Schizosaccharomyces pombe: one gene and its partner. The protein of the gene in region 1 interacts with the protein of each later gene in a biochemical or structural test. Each region holds a gene or a part of one and is shown in the gene's direction. Other genes may lie near its edges.

Region 1 (7,349 bases):
TATTTGTTTATCAATTTCAGGATTCATCACTGATGCTGGTTTTTCAACGCTAACGATTCTGTTCGTAAGCCCAGATGCAGTCCGGATCATACTTGTCGGAGATTGACGTACCTGATCGGCGAATATGTTATTACCACTATGGGGTTGTGATGGACTCAATGGTACCAAGGCGTTTTGTAACTCCTTTGCAGCATCGAAAAGAATTAGCAGTAAAAGCCGAACATATCGGACATCCGCACGACTAGTGAGCTCATTTAAAAATTTTTTTGTCACTTCAATTAGTTTACGAAACGAGCTGATACAAGACAATGAAGCGTTTACTATGGAATTAATGTTTGCAGTTCCATCATTGCTTTGTTGGGTATCCTCAAAGCACAGAATTAGCCGCTTAATTTGAACATTGGCAGTATGTAACACATGACGCATAGAATCTAAAACAACGGGGTTGCTGCAAAAAAGAAGTTGCTGACGAAGGGCTTGTTGGACTTGCGAAAGCGAAAACAATATGCCCCTAGACGACTCTAAAGTTTTTTCAAAGGCCGAGTGCTTCATTTCAACCTCACTCCCTCCAATGTTACTGAAGTAGCTGTTGACCGAGTCATTTGTCAAATTGGAGCCATTTTCATGCGTTTCTTCTTTTTTCAAACGAGGGGAAGGATGAGGATCTTGAGCAAAAATTCGATTTGGTAATTGCTCAGAAAGTTTGCGCGCTTCTTTAAGGGCTTCAAGACGATGTAAAACACTCGATGGAAGTCTAGTAGAAGAGTAATCATCATTTGTACTATTGCTTCTATTACGCTCTTTCTTGGCAACCTCAGGTAAACTTATGGCTGATGTTTTAGCACTCGCACTCAACTGCGTTGGAGCTGTTTTTAGAATCGATTGTGTGGAAGCAGCATCATTATTTGAGGGATTTTGATGTTGATCAGTGAATTCTGAAATTTGGTCTTGAATGGGGCTAGCGCCGTTAGTATTGTGAGTACGTTCTTGAACGTCTGCACTAGCGACGGAGGAATTGGTGAGTGAGCTTTGGGGTGAATGGTACAATGGTCCTGTAGCAGAAGAAGGTGGTTTTGAAACAGAAGGAGAATTGAGGCCAGTAGCTAAAGAAACTGACCTACGAGGACGGGCTTGTCTAGGCGACGCATCTAGATGAAATTTGTTTAATTGATTAAGTGATGGAGGATGAGTGCATCCATGAGCAACATTTGAATCATACAATGTTCCTTCTGAGTTCTCATTTGTCTTTGACAAAGTCGATTTGGGTGTGGACTGTTGATGCCCGGCAGGAGAATGTGAATGGGGACTTGGCGTGACAAACGTCAGCATGCCAGGTGAAACCGCATGGCTAGTATCTGATGGGGCACTAAATAAGTAAGAATCAACCACAGAGGAGTCATTTTCTTCCGAGTGACTAAGATTAGCTGAAGCGGATAAAGCAGCGGAAACAGTACTTTCACTTCGCGTTCTAAAGACTGATTCGTTTCGCGACAAATATCCCTTTATATTGGCAATAAACAACTGCATATCAGAATCTTGCAAGTCATTATTAGCGATATGCGGAGGAGGAAACACAATGTGATTGTTTTCAATTTTAAGAATTTCAAGATTCGGCATATGTGCAATGTAGGTGGGAAGCTCAAAAAGACGATTTTTAGAAATTGAAAGAACTTTAAGGTTCATTAAAGCTCCAAAGGATTCTGGCAGTTGCTTGATTTTATTGCGAGAAATGTCTAAAATTTCAAGTGACTCAAGTCGACACAAAGATTCGGGAAACTCTCTAAGGACATTCGATCTAATATTTAGGTACCGGAGACGAGTAAACTTTAGGATTTCAGGACCAATACTCTTTATAAAGTTATGGCCTAGCGCTAGTCTCGCTATCCGACCCTGGATTCTTTCCAATTGTTCATAAGGTAATTCCCGCAAGTTTAGATGAGATAGATCTAACGTAAGTGCATTTTCAGGACCCGCATCTTCTGCCTCTTTAATAATTCTTTCAATTTCTGAGTTTTTTGTGGAGGACACCTCATGAGCAGACATAGCATGAAAAGATCGATCACCTCAGACGTAAATCCGAAGGTTTTGTTGAAAAAAAAAGGAACTCTAAGAAGTAATAATTACTAAAAAAATGCAATGAACATAAAATTGATCCACAATGGTATGCTATAATGTACAAAAGTCAATTCCCCAAAATTTACTGCCAAGCTAGTTCGCGGAACGAATAAACTCACTTCTTTCTGTGTACGCATCTGTAGGTTGTACTTTTTTATTTTAACAACGTGAATAAGCACTTTTCCTTAAAATAATTACAGTTTATTAACGTTTACACAAAATATTTTCGTTAAGTTTGATATTGCGTTTTATTTTTTTTAGCTATGCAGTTCGTAATTATCATTAATGATATGTTAGACTACTTGATTTTCGTATGTGCACTACATAGCGGTACATATGGTTGTATGATAACGGGGGTTACGGATATCCTTGTATGAAGGCGGTAATGTAATTTATCTCTAAACAAACCACCACAGCTGAACTAAAGAACGTTGTTCCTTTGATTTTACATCTATCATTTCTAGCTAATAAATTAAAAAATTTATTAGTGGATCTACATCGTATTGTTATCATTTGTAAGACGATAGGTAATCAGAACATGTGACATATAGTAATTCGTAATTGTAATGTAGTATTGTTAGCATTCATTTCTAATTCTTGAATGATCAAAAGCACTCGCTATATTATGTTGGTTCGAACTTTTTGAGTTCATCGAGATCAGAAGTCGTTATTAACAGGAGCAACAAATGCTAACGCTACAGTATGTTTTGTGGTAAATAATTCTTTAAGTGTAAATTGATAACTTTTTGAATGAGTTGCAATTTTGTTGATTCAATATTTCTGTCATTTATCTATAGTTTGTTTATCAATTTGATTATCTTGGTGCGTTTGATTTCCTAATCATTAATATTTATTGTTTATTTTATTAGTCCTTAATATATTGCTTCCTAATAGAATCGCCTAGGTTTATCATTATGATTTAAGAACCTGATAAAAATAAATGAGTTGATAAATTGTACATATAATCAAACACGGTTTTTTTTTCTATGACTAAATGGGTTACTATCTAAAATAATTTTTTTTGGTTTCTCATTGAGAAATTGAAGCCTCATTATTTTTGAATTTCAAAAATATTGGTTTGTGTTGATTAAATCATTTAATCTGAGTCATTAAATATCCAAACCTGACAAGTAGTAATAGGACCATTAATGGTAGCCAACTAAGTATGGGTATAACGTTTAATTTTTTTTTTTTTTAAACTACATACTTTAAATAAAATCTAAAATAAGGAATAAATTTCAGAAACAATTACTCAATTAGTTAAATTTTAGTAATGTCGAATTCTAATAGTAAGTCAATAACACAACAGTATCCCTTTTAAACGAATACTTATTTGCTCGTATCGTAGAATGTATAATTTACAATCGCAGTTTTAGCTGTGCCTATTATTTTCACGTGTTAAAATTTATTCGATTTTTGTCCTCAGATGGAAGGTGTTACTCTAAGTACTCTACTAAATCCCCAGCGCTTGTTGCACGACTAGGTAACGAAACTCAACACCTTAAGTAGGCTTGCCGTATTGTATCGTGAACCATACCTTACTCATTCCTTATCACGAACAGTGATTTTATACTTGTATATTTCTATTAAATTTAAAATAGAAGGGGATTATACAAGAAGCTATCGAATGTTAAACGTAAAAACAGGCGGCTGTTTTGGTTGTTCATACTGTATATAGGAAAGTTGAGGTTAAGTCAAAAGAAAGAAGATATATAGAAGATGCGCATTTGGTTTAAAAAAGTTCCAGATGGGATTACTTCCTCCGTTATATTGTCTGAAGATCATCTGGTTGACGATTTAAAAGATGCCATCGCTCGGAAATTCCCTATTCGTATCAGTCAGTATTATGATGCACCTGAGCTTTCGATTCGTGTAGTAGCTCCACCAAATGCATCATCGGAGTTGCAATCTAGAGAACTCAGTCCCAACGAAAGCATATTATTTGTCATGGAAACTTATTATCCTCATGGTCAGGATTTTAACGACGCGCTTCTAGTAGCGTCGCCGGATACCTCAGTTGCCTTAAGATATCGCTCTTCTCAACTCTCATCCTCTACATTTGAATCAACACCTCCCGTTTTTTCTGAATACCCACCTAACATAATCCCTACCCCAGCGAACGAAACAGTCCCGCGTATCAAACAGCCATCCATTGCTCTTGATTCACTTGAGAGCCCGGTTTCTGCCCCTTCACGACATCAAAGTACTTATTCTTATAAAGGAGGTCCTTTAAATTATAATTTACGAAATGCATCCCGAACTAGGTCCCATCAAACTCTTCCTTCCTCTAATGTAAATAAAACTGGCGTACTACTTTTGCCTCGTTCTTCTAGACAGCAAACATTGGCTTCAAGACCCTCTTTACCAGATCTAACTTCAGCTGACAAGTCGCAACCATCAGACGAAGCCGAATCCATTACTAGAAAAAATTCTATTGGAATGTCGACTCGGTCTGATGAATCAACAGCTGAAAAATTGGCGAAAGCCGAAGTCGCGACACCCACTAATAGTAGAAGTATTAGTCATTCATCGCTTTATACGAAACAATCTGGTACCGCAGGAGTCCTTCCCGCGGTTAATGCTGATATTGACGCAGCAAATAGGATGAACCCTGATATCAGTTCTCAATTTCCTATAGCAGACAACAAAGATCCCTTAAATGCTGATACACAAGCCCATTTAGGATTTCCTTCTAATCAAATAGATGGAATTGTTGGTACTTCACCAGTCAATGTTCTAACAAGTCCCGGCATAGGTGCGAAAGCACCTTTTGCTAGTCTACTTGAAGGAGTGATTCCTCCAATTAACGTTTTGATTGTTGAAGATAATATTATTAATCAAAAAATCCTAGAGACTTTTATGAAGAAGCGCAATATTTCCTCGGAGGTTGCTAAAGATGGGCTTGAAGCACTCGAGAAGTGGAAAAAGAAATCTTTTCACTTGATTCTAATGGACATCCAACTTCCCACGATGTCCGGTATTGAAGTCACCCAAGAAATTAGGAGACTTGAGCGGTTAAACGCAATTGGAGTTGGTGCTCCAAAATTGACACAACCGATACCTGAAAAGGATCAGCTAAATGAAAACAAATTTCAATCTCCTGTGATTATAGTGGCACTTACTGCTTCTAGCCTAATGGCTGATCGAAACGAGGCTTTAGCTGCTGGTTGCAATGATTTTCTTACAAAGCCTGTCTCTTTAGTTTGGCTAGAGAAAAAAATTACGGAGTGGGGCTGTATGCAAGCGCTTATTGATTGGAATGGTTGGTGCCGTTTTCGCGGTCGATGATATTAGCCTTACCAAATTTTGTATCACTGTGTTTTGTTCTGTTCACCACAATAAGTCGAGCTCCGCTCATTTTATTTCCGTAATCTTTTATTGTATAAAATTAATCTTTTGGTTATCAATTTGTCGGACGCTATGGTTTGCTAGCAAAATAATTTCCTCTTTTCCTTTACCTAATTACCTGCCTTAATTATTAATGGATCAGCTTGTCATAGATACTTATTGCTAATTGTGTTATCCTTATAACTAAACACTTTCTGATTTACCTAATATTATGTTGTACATTAAAACTCCAAAATTTCGTTATTCATCTACAAAGATAATAAAGTAGGATATCTTATTTTCGTATCTAATATTTTAGTTGTAAAGACTTTTAATATGTCGCTAAAAAATGAGCGTATTTCAATCTCGTGTGCATCATTCTTGATTGCGTCCATACCACACTTAAACACCAATATTTTCTGTGTCTTTTGTTTTAATACGTTTTTGTAATTAATAGTAAACTGTGGTGTTTTTTTTTTCTTTAAATTTTTTTAGAAGATTTGTTTTATAAAAAATGACTTCTATCTCGAAAAGAAAAAATCAACAGGAGCATATACCCGCAGAGGATCTAGAAACACCAAAATTACCAAAGCGAGAAAAAATCGAGGGCACAAAAGAATCTAACAAAGTTCGTATCATCATTTTATTGGGATATTCTGGTTATGGTTACCATGGGATTCAAATAAATAATCCCCTTAAAACAATTGAAGGAGATGTTGTAGCTGTACTTAAAAAATTGGGCTATTTAAAAACAAATAACATTGATGCTGAACATTTGTGTATTGCGCGAGCAGCTAGAACAGACAAAGGGGTCCATACATTAAGAAATTTAATATCATTAAATCTTTTTGTCGATAAGCCACTAGATATTTCCTTACTTAAAACTGAGTTGAATGAAGCACTTTGTTCTCAAATTCGTGTGTGGAGTGTCTTTCCTGCGCCAAAGTACTTTAATCCTAGGATTTCTTGCGAGTCAAGGACATATGAATACTTAATTCCTTCTTTTGCTTTACTTCCTCCTAAGCCCTCTTGTCCTCTTTTTAAAAAAATGCAGAAAAACTTATCAAGAAAACTGGATAATGAGTTAGAAAGAAATTTAGTTTATTCAATGAACGATTTGATTTCTTTTTGGAATACAGTGAAGCTTAAGCAGAAGGAAATACAAGAAATGTTTGATACTAATAAAGATGCATTCACTAACCCATTTAAAGGTATGTTCTATGAAAAGCCTATTCCGGCTGGGATTGTAATACCTCCCCAAGCAAAATTAAAGAAGGCTTTAAAGCAAGCTGAATATTATTGCTATATGAATTATCGTATAAAAGAGGATCGTTTAAAGGTTTTACAACAGCTTTTAAAGAAATACGAAGGCCGGCATAATTTTCATAACTTTACTGTCACTGATGACTCCACATCACCAAGTAATTATCGATTCATTGAGAGTGTTACTTGCGGAACTCCTTTTGTTTATGAAAACTGGGAATGGATTCCTGTTACGATTAAAGGTAATTCTTTTATGCTAAATCAGATTCGTAAAATGATGGCTCATGTTCTGATGATTATACGAAGCTGTGCTCCTACGGGATTAATAGACAAAGCGTTCGATCCAAATATAACGATGAACATTAGTAAAAGTCCAGGTCATGTTCTTCTTTTAAAAGATATTAAATTTTCTTCTTATAACGATTCTGTTACAGATGGTCTAGAAAAAATTCAATTTGATTGCTTTGAAGAAGACATTCTGTCCTTAAAAATTAAAACTATTTACCCCGACATAATTAAGTTAGAACAAAAAGAGAAACTGTAAGTGCTTTATTTACATACGACATTAACATGCTAGATTTTTCAGTTTCCTGTCTTATATCGATCAACATACTGGACATCAATTTGATTATTTATTTGGATGA
Region 2 (9,439 bases), 2.4 Mb from region 1:
GGCTGGTTTCTGCTCAATCCATTAGTGGTACCGGTGCCTTGTGTATAGCAGCTAATTTCCTTGCTTCATTTTATCCATCAAAGACTATTTACGTATCTGACCCTACTTGGGGAAATCACAAGAATGTATTTTCTCGAGCTGGCTTGACCGTTAAGTCCTACAAGTATTATGATCCTGCTACTCGTGGGTTGGACATTAAAGGCATGTTGTCCGATTTAACTTCAGCTCCTGATGGCTCTATTATATTATTGCATGCTTGTGCTCACAATCCAACTGGTGTAGATCCTACGAAAGCTCAGTGGGATGATATCCTCAAAACAATGCAAAAGAAAAACCATTTTGCTCTTTTAGACATGGCTTACCAAGGATTTGCCAGTGGTGATTTTGCTCGTGATGCTTATGCCACTCGTCTGTTCGCCTCCAGCAATGTCCCCATGTTACTCTGCCAATCCTTTGCTAAAAACATGGGTCTATATGGTGAACGTGCTGGCTGCTTTAGCATTTTAGCCAACGATGCTGAGGAAGCCGCTCGTATCGAAAGCCAAACTAAGATTCTCATTCGTGCTTTGTATTCCAACCCTCCCGTCAATGGGGCCAGAATTGCCAACCATATATTGAGCAACCCTGCACTTCGTGAACAGTGGGCTGGTGAAGTTGTAGGCATGTCCGAACGTCTTAAGAGTATGCGTAAGGCTCTTCGCAACATCCTTGAAAAGGACCTTAAGAATAAACACAGCTGGAAGCATATCACTGACCAAATTGGTATGTTTTGTTATACTGGTTTAAATCCCCAGCAAGTTGATGTTTTGGCTAAACAGTATCACATTTACCTCACTAAGAATGGTCGTATTAGCATCTCCGGTCTCAACACTTCCAATGTAAGATACTTTGCCGAAGCTATCAATGCCGTTACTTCGAATTAGTCGGTGGTGAAATTGAAGTGAAAAGATTTTGGTTTATTATATAGACAGATGGATTTTTGATTGATTCTTTGTTCTGAATCTTTTTTGTTCTTCTTTCTGTTTTTATTTTATTATACATACATATAGACAGACTCAAACACACATATACATATACATATATTTGTATACATTTAATTTTTTTTCCCTTTTCATTTCTCCGAAACCATGAGAAGACGTATTTAGTAACCTAATTGTCTCGGCTTATTTTTTTTTCCTTATACTTTCGCTTTGAGGTGAATAACTACAGTTTTGCTTCCAAATAGATGGCATGGTCTGTTTTTAAATGAATGGATTTTGGATCTAAAAATTGACTAAATATTGATTCGTTTTCGAAATAGTATGCTTTTCGTTTGTCTATCTTCATTTATTTCCATACTTTGTTTCTGTAGATGTTTGTCTAGTAGTTCACTTACTTCATACTTTAGATTGCCTCTAGTTAACCCAAAATTTGGCACATTTTACTATCCTCTCTCATATACATATTAAATCCCACTTTTTCGTTGGAAAACTATCAATTATCTTTCCCATTGCATTTGTCATATGTTGGGATTTCCCAAGTTCATCAAACTTCTGAGATGTACGAAATAAGTGAGGTAGGAATGAAATTTGTGCAAAGCTTTTAATTATTTCTAAAAATAGGAGAATATCGCTGGAAATTGGCACCTTTCCAATGACTAGGATAGGCCCTATGTAGTGATATCGAAATAAATATCTGCAAAAAGAGTATCATTCTTCCCTCCCAATGTGCAATGCTACAGCCATCAGGAATTGCTGCGCTTATTAGGAAATGGCCGAAAATGCCAAAGATGGTGGGAAACTGTTCTTCCATCTCCAGTTCGTCTTTTTTTTCTACACTGACTGATATGGAGGAATCATTGAAATTCGGGGTATAGTGAGACGTAGCGTCATTATATTAATATACTTTATCGTTTTGGGTGGTTGTGTATCGGTACATTTGACTGCTTTATTACGTTGCATGGCGTCACTCCCAAGTGTGAGTTTTGCAAACAATTCTTTCGCGGCATTTACCTACTTTCCGTCTCCCATTTACTACATTAGAATATCTAAAAATCAGACATAAGCACAGGCAAAACCATAGTCTCTACTCTCTGCCTTACCCTTGTTGCATTTGAACTTAATTATAGAGAGAGCACTTAACAATCTTGTGAGGATTGGTTTTCTGTCTTTTGAATTGATACGAAAACAATAATATCGCCTTTTTAGTAGAGCTTGATAATTTTAGAACTTAGCAGAAGCTGAAGGCAAGTTTGTGTGGCGTCTAAAACTTGGCATCAAAGTTTCGAACACGCAAAAAAAGCTCCAAAACCGTATTGACTCTTTTCCATTAGAATCGTTGTTGAAGGAGATTTATCCACAAATCCTATTTAGTATTTGTGGGTTGTGTGGTAAAGCCATTTTCTTCTTTTGGTAATAGCCCTTGTACTGTACTACAGGTTAGTGAAACTGTTGATTATTTCATTTTGCTGGCATACCACACATTATTTTTATAATTTGTTTGTGTTGTCGACGCCTCTTTCAATAACTCACATTTCCTCGCTTTAATTTCAAATCGTTGTTAAAAAAGGAAAGTCTTAAATCTGATACAATATTCTGTATCGATTGCTACATTTTACTGTTTGCAAAGTAATACTGCTGATAAAATTTAGCTGAGCTTCTCCATTCGCTCTTACTTTAAACCCTTTTCTTTTTTTTTTGGATTTTCTTTTAATTATTTTCTAAAAAATGAGTGTATATCGTGATAACATGTATATGAAATACGACCGAAACTTCGAAAATCGTGTCGCCCGAAGAAATGGACAGGCGCGTAACGCTAGTCTTGCTAAGACTCTTCACGATTCTGGCATAGCTGAACGTGCACGCTCTCCTTCAGGGTCAGCGATCCCCCATGCTTATCGGGTTATGAATGGTTCTGGAGCGAATGACACTTCTTTACCACTGACCTCAAATCCTGCTTATGTTGCTCTAACGTCACGTATATCTTCGAGCAAAAGTGAAAACAATCAACAATTGGCTGCTAATGAGACGGCTGGCGCACCTGAAGGCACGGAGGAGACCGTTGACATCTCCAATTCTATTAGCGATGACCATGCGAATGCCAAAAATCTTCCCGCTGCTTCAGTCAAAGCTTTGGTTGGGGCTGGTGTCTTGTCGGATGAACTTTCAGTAATTGCTTACGATATGTCATTTGAGGATGAACTCATCCAAGACAAACAGCTCATTGATCATTCCGTTTTTGACCAGTTGCTTGAGATGGATGATGATGATGAGCATGAATTTAGTAAGAGTATTGTTTGGAATTATTTTGAGCAGGCAGAGACTACCATTGCCGACCTCCAAAAGGCCCTAGAGGCTAAGGATTTGAAGAAGCTTTCCTCGTTGGGGCATTTCCTTAAAGGATCTTCAGCTGTATTGGGCCTTACAAAAATGAGAAAGGTTTGTGAACGTATCCAAAATTACGGATCTCTACGCAGTCGTGATGGTGTAATGAAATTACCGAGCGAGGAAATTGCATTGGATTTGATTAGCAAATCTCTGTCGGTTGTGAACGACTTTTATAAGGATGCTCGAGCTTACTTACTTGACTTTTATGAAAAAAATTCTTCTACATAAAAGTCTCAACATGTCAAAGTACCTAGCCTTTCTTTCCCCCTTTTTATGACATTTATACCAGTTGTCTATCAAAGTCTTCTAGTTTTCCCAAATTTACGATAACTTGAAGTTAGTGATGAATTTCCAGCTTTTACGGTTTGAATAGTTATATTTATTATGACGCCCACACTTTTCCCGTACTTTGAAGTGCTTCCCTCTATCAAAGCAAATAGAGTGAAGTAATACAAGTCCTCAATTTAGTTGAGTATCCCCTATCCAAAACTATCAAAAACAGTCTATTTTTTGCTTTACCTCGTCTACCTTTTTGATATTGAGATATGCAACAGGCAGGGTTTTCCTGCGGTTTTTTTTTACGGAACATTTTTGAAGCTCTCGATATCAAACTTTATGTATTTAATAAGCTGCTTTCTCGAAAAAAAAAATTCTTGTTTGTTACGTTCTTACGGTCGTGGCATGTATTTATACCTTTATTTATCTAGTTTATTTACGAAATTGTCTATTGTGATTGTTTATCACAAGCCCAATCCCCTAATGTTGAAGGACTTTAAACCTTAGATAATATGTTTACAACCGGTCGTTTAAGATGCTGAATTTGGTTAATTCAAATTACTCTTCAACACTCATTTATCCCCACGATTGGCGACAGATTTTTTTTTTTTTCGAGTTTGATTTGCTTTGTTGTTGTTTTTTTATGTTTTTCCTAAGTTTTTAAACTGTGTTTTCAAATTTTCTTTAACCTAATGTTAATCATTACATGTACCTGATTCTCCTTTGTTTACCTTTTTTATTATTCAACTTGAGATGTTGATGGATTTTTTATGATTTTGGTGATAACCTTCACGTCCTTGTACATTACTGAGTTGTGAATTATGGTGGACTTCAAATATTGATTGACAAACCTTGCAAAAATTTTAAGTATATTGTTCTTGCTTTTTGTAATTATGATTGCTTTTGTCATTATCTCGCTTTAGAGAGATTATTTAAAGGATTAATGAAAACACCTTAAAATGGTCATTACATACAATAATTATTTATGATTTGATTCATTCAGCGTTTAATATGTGTACTTTCAAGTGTGATCGAACTGACTTTTAGCGTCACTTACTAAATGTTTTTGTTGTTGTGGGTTAAAGATCGAAAACAATTCTTCGTTGTAGATTGTTCGTTTTTGAGAATAAAAACTAAGAAAACACGTTTGCGATGAAATGAAATTAACGAACTTCTTTTTTTTGTTAATCGAAGTATAGTTTGTTCGATTCCGCAAAGACAAGAGAACATTGAAATATTGATTTGTGTGAAACAGCGAAATCAAGTATACCTCGTTAATTAGCGCGGCAAGTAGGATCCTGCGGATTCATAGACGTTCCTTTGGAGGCGAAGCGTTATTAGGATTTTCATACCCGTTGTGCAGCTTTTCGTCGCCTTGTTTTTCTAGAATGATGCGGGATGAATTGAATATGCGGAAGCTACAGATGTGCAAAAACTAGGCATAAACCTCGCTTGCCTTCTTAGTTTGCTAGGCAATGTGAAGCAAATGGTCATAATCCAAGTGATACGCCTGACAGAGACAATTTAATTTGTAAATTATTTTTATCATTGTTTTTATCCTCTGATGTTACAATGTATTCATTGATATCGCATTTCGGCATTCCGATGTTCAACCCCGGTATGCGAGAAGGTGTTGGCCGCTTTTTTCGGTATCAAAGTTGAAATTTTAGATGACTAATCTTATGTTAATTAAAGATAAGAGGACGAAGTTTGCTGAAATCAAGTACAGGTTTTGATTGACTAGGCATCCTCACTAATGGTGTGAGAGAAATCTGTTAGGATATGCAAGCTGTCATTTCTCACTTTTTCAATGTTGGAAACCTGTACACAGACAATGCATACTCTTTTCTATATCAATTTGCAAACTAGATGGCAGCTCATTGTTCTGTGAATAATCAGATTAAGGTACTGAACAACGGAATATGGATTGCAATGTTCTTTGAAGATCTAGAAGGGGAAACCATTTTTGTTAGTTAAAAGTTTTATTTTTTTGTTTTAAGTTACTAGTTATTGTCTTTATTTTCTTATTTTCCTTTCTCTGTGCACTAATATTAAATGATTTTACTCTTACTATTTACCAATTCTCTTGAGCAGATGAAGAGAGGAATATTTTAAAAAATTAGTGTAATCCACGATAACGTACAATTTGCTTTTTCAGAAATCACACACGATTTCGTTAGTAAGTTTAGCCGAACTTTAGAGTTGTGCCTTATACAGATATCTAGAGATCATTTCTGTATAGCGAGCGACCTTTAGTACGACACACTTAGCAAAGTCAATGACGTTTCAGTCAAACAAGTGACTTATATAGGATTCATACGTGCATCCCATTTCATCGTTTGCCAACATGTCCCTCGCTTGGAAAAATGAGTTATTGAAGCTTTTAAAAGAAAATGTCGACTCCAGTGGAGTTATTCATCCCGAATACTTCCAGCTGGCAACTTTACCCACTGGTAATGAAATTTACCCCAGAAATCGTACTGTAGCTATTCGAGGATTTGTCGGTACAGGATGGCATAAACCACGTCCCGATGATGTGCTAGCTACAGATTTATTGGTATTCTCTACGGATATTGCTTCTCACAAAGCTGCTGAGATTGCTGAGCAGCAAAAAAATACATTCCCCTCTGGACCCATACCGAACGCATTTGAAATGTGTGGATGGTTACCAAAGACAATGCAGCAAATTCGTATTTCCGGTCAAATTTGGTTATACACACCAGAACTTGCCGACCGAAATGAATTTCCCGCAGACAAGTTGATCCAGGATCATTTAATAAACAGCAATGGCCGCATTCCCGAAGAATGGTCTTGGGAAGAGGAAAGAAGACGTATTTGGGAGTTACATAGTCCTGAACTTCGCGCTTCCTTTTCTACTCCTCCTTCATACTCCAAATACCAAGGCGATGTGAAGGTGTCACCTTTACCTTCTACCCTCACTGGAAAAGAAGATCCCGGGGTTATTGAAGCTTGGAAGACTGCTTGGGGTAGATTTTCTCTTGTTGTTTGTGAGGCTAACGAAGTCGAGTTTTTGAATCTTACCCCTCCTCCAGGAAAGCGCGTTTTGCACAATAGAGATCTAAACACGAAACAATGGTCCTCCACTCGTGTCAATGTCTAAATGTTTTCCTTTTTTTTCGCACATCCTTTATGAATTGATTGCTCTTGATAAACGTGCAATACTTATGAACTACGAATATTAACTTATAATGATTACTCCTAACATTTTGGTTCTTTTTTTTTGTGGAGTATATGAAAAAGGTCTGATTCCCTCAAATTTGCCTAGCTTACAATTCGGTGGGTTTTGTAGTTGAATTTTTTTTTAGTACTGAAGCATAATACTGAGTACAAACTACAAACTCAGTGTATTCCGAATTTTCTAATGTTTATTTACGTTGTTAAACAACTAAATTATCACTTATCCTATGTCAAATTTCCAATCCGGCCACTTGATGAACTATTTACGTTTATAATAAATAAAAAATTATGAAAATTGTGTGTATTAAAGTACTTACAGGAAGACATTGTAAAAAATTGTTGCGAGATTAAGCAAATAGGCCAACCTACCTGCTAATGATGATCATTTATTAAAAGATCTTACCTGTATAATATTATATTAAGGTTATTACTATATGGCTTGTTTTATTATCTTATATTGTCTTACGCAGGTAGAAATGTAGCAAAAAAAAGGGAATAAAGCACCACATAAGAAACACAATGTCTTATTTGAAGGGACGGTGAATTGCCAAGTCATTTAATTTTATCGAATCAGTATTCATAGAACCGTAAAGGTCCCCGTTGAGTTAAGTGGCATTATTGAATACATGTGTGGATCTTAACTTATTAACGATACAAATTTAAAACCTGTTAACGTATTCCTTACTATACATTAAATACTTTAAGGAATTTTACCAAATTGGCTTATACATTGGATTATTAGTACTCGGTTACATAAGGGATTAGCAATTTCAAATACAGGATTGCTCATCCATCATTTTTTAAGCATTGCTGTTATTTAAGCTCATCTAGATCAGAACTTCTTTTTCTCTCTAAAGTATAGAACACTTGGTTTACAGAGTGACATACACTTCAGTTTGTCAGTTTATTGAGAAATAGGGACGGTATTGCTAGCTACTGGAACCAAACCCACCTTTACTTTGCTTTAGTCTTTTCTTGTTTTCTTCTGTCTTTCTTTTGCATTGAGCTTTTCATCGCTTTTGTTTGGTGAACAATATTATTCAATTTAGAGGTACATATTAATTTGTAATAACAATGTCTATAAGCTTTTCGGAATTGGTAGCTAAGACATTGTTGGACTTAGAGGTTAAAGTTGTTTTTGGCATTGTTGGCATTCCCGTAATCGAAATTTGTGAGGCTATCCAAGCAAGTGGAATTCGGTTTGTCGGGTTTCGCAATGAGCAAAGCGCAGCTTATGCAGCGACTGCCTATGGCTATTTAACTCAGCGCCCTGGGGTCTGTGTCGTGGTAGGCGGTCCTGGCGTTGTACATGCCATGGCCGGTGTTTTCAATTCTAAAACCAATCGATGGCCTTTGCTGCTTTTGGCTGGATCCAGTGAAACATTTCAGCAAAACTGTGGGGCCTTCCAAGAATTGGACCAGGTTTCTTACTTATCACCTCATACGAAATTAGCCGTGCGCCCCCCAAGTCCCAAAATGGTTGTTGATTCCATTCGAAGAGCGTATCGTGTCTCCATGACCGGCACTCCTGGAACATGCTATGTTGACTTGCCAGCAAATTATATTGAATCTACTGTCGATGACTTTCCTAAAGACCCTCTACCCCCAATTCCTAGTTCTCCCAAATGTGCACCTGATCCAACACAGCTTCAGAAGGCTGCATACTATTTAAAAAATGCAAAGGCACCTCTGCTTGTCGTTGGTAAAGGTGCCGCATATGCCTGCGCTGAAAAACAGCTCTTGGAATTTGTTGAACATACTGGCATTCCGTTTCTTCCGAGTCCCATGGGCAAAGGTTTGTTACCAGAATCGCATCCCTTAAATGTGTCTTCGGCAAGGTCAGCTGCTCTTCGTAATGCAGATGTAGTGCTCTTAGCAGGGGCACGTTTAAATTGGATATTTCAATATGGTCTTCCACCAAAGTGGTCTCCTAATGCCAAATTTATTCAAATTGATACCAATGCTGAAACTTTAGGAAACAATGCTGCAGATTTGGATTTAGCAATTTGGGCTGATGTAGGTCTGACAATAGATTGTCTTTTTAAGCTCGTTCAAACTTGGAAGTACAGTGTTGGCATCTCGACCCCTTACCTTCGCACGTTAAATGAAACCCGATCCAAGAATGAGAAAAAGGCTCTTGAATCTCGAAAGTCCAGTATACCGTTGCAAATGAATTATGCTTTGTATGTCGTGAATGAGGAGCTACAAAGCTTATCGCTCAAATCAAAGCGTAATATCACTTGGGTTTCTGAAGGCGCCAATACAATGGACCGGGGCCGTCAGCTTTTAGAAGTAACTCATCCACGTGGTCGACTGGATGCAGGCACTATGTCAACAATGGGAGTTGGTATGGGATATGCTATTGCCAGCGCATTTGCCCATTCATCCGACAAAATAGTGGTAGTTGAGGGTGATAGTGCTTTTGGCTTTAGCGCCATGGAACTGGAAACCGCCATACGCAACCAGCTGGATCTTTTGGTAATTGTAATCAATAATAATGGTGTTTACCATGGATTAGATACTGATGCTTATGAAACTTTACGTGATAATCACCAATTACCGACTACTGCCTTAGGCACTAGTATACGTTATGATCAAAT

The links.
Region 2: of the proteins of mcs4 (region 1) and mpr1, one has a biochemical effect on the other in vitro, tested with the Schizosaccharomyces pombe proteins (one study listed by BioGRID).

Annotation. Positions count from the first base shown.
Region 1 is NC_003423.3:3,553,440-3,560,788, forward strand, and holds mcs4 (response regulator Mcs4), read left to right. Parts: upstream 1-3,648; 5' UTR 3,649-3,834; coding exon 3,835-5,403; 3' UTR 5,404-5,698; downstream 5,699-7,349. Other genes in the region: leucine-rich repeat protein Sog2, read right to left, coding at 1-2,043; tRNA pseudouridine synthase Pus2, read left to right, coding at 5,957-7,245, 7,283-7,349. UniProt on the Schizosaccharomyces pombe protein: Response regulator that coordinately controls the stress activated wak1-wis1-sty1 MAP kinase pathway and fission yeast cell cycle.
Region 2 is NC_003423.3:1,201,052-1,210,490, forward strand, and holds mpr1 (histidine-containing response regulator phosphotransferase Mpr1), read left to right. Parts: upstream 1-2,000; 5' UTR 2,001-2,705; coding exon 2,706-3,593; 3' UTR 3,594-5,722; downstream 5,723-9,439. Other genes in the region: aspartate aminotransferase Maa1, read left to right, coding at 1-923; SPOM_SPBC725.03 (pyridoxamine 5'-phosphate oxidase), read left to right, coding at 5,989-6,762; 2-hydroxyacyl-CoA lyase Hac1, read left to right, coding at 7,914-9,439. UniProt on the Schizosaccharomyces pombe protein: Binds to the msc4 response regulator which is part of a multistep phosphorelay system that transmits oxidative stress signals to the spc1 MAPK cascade.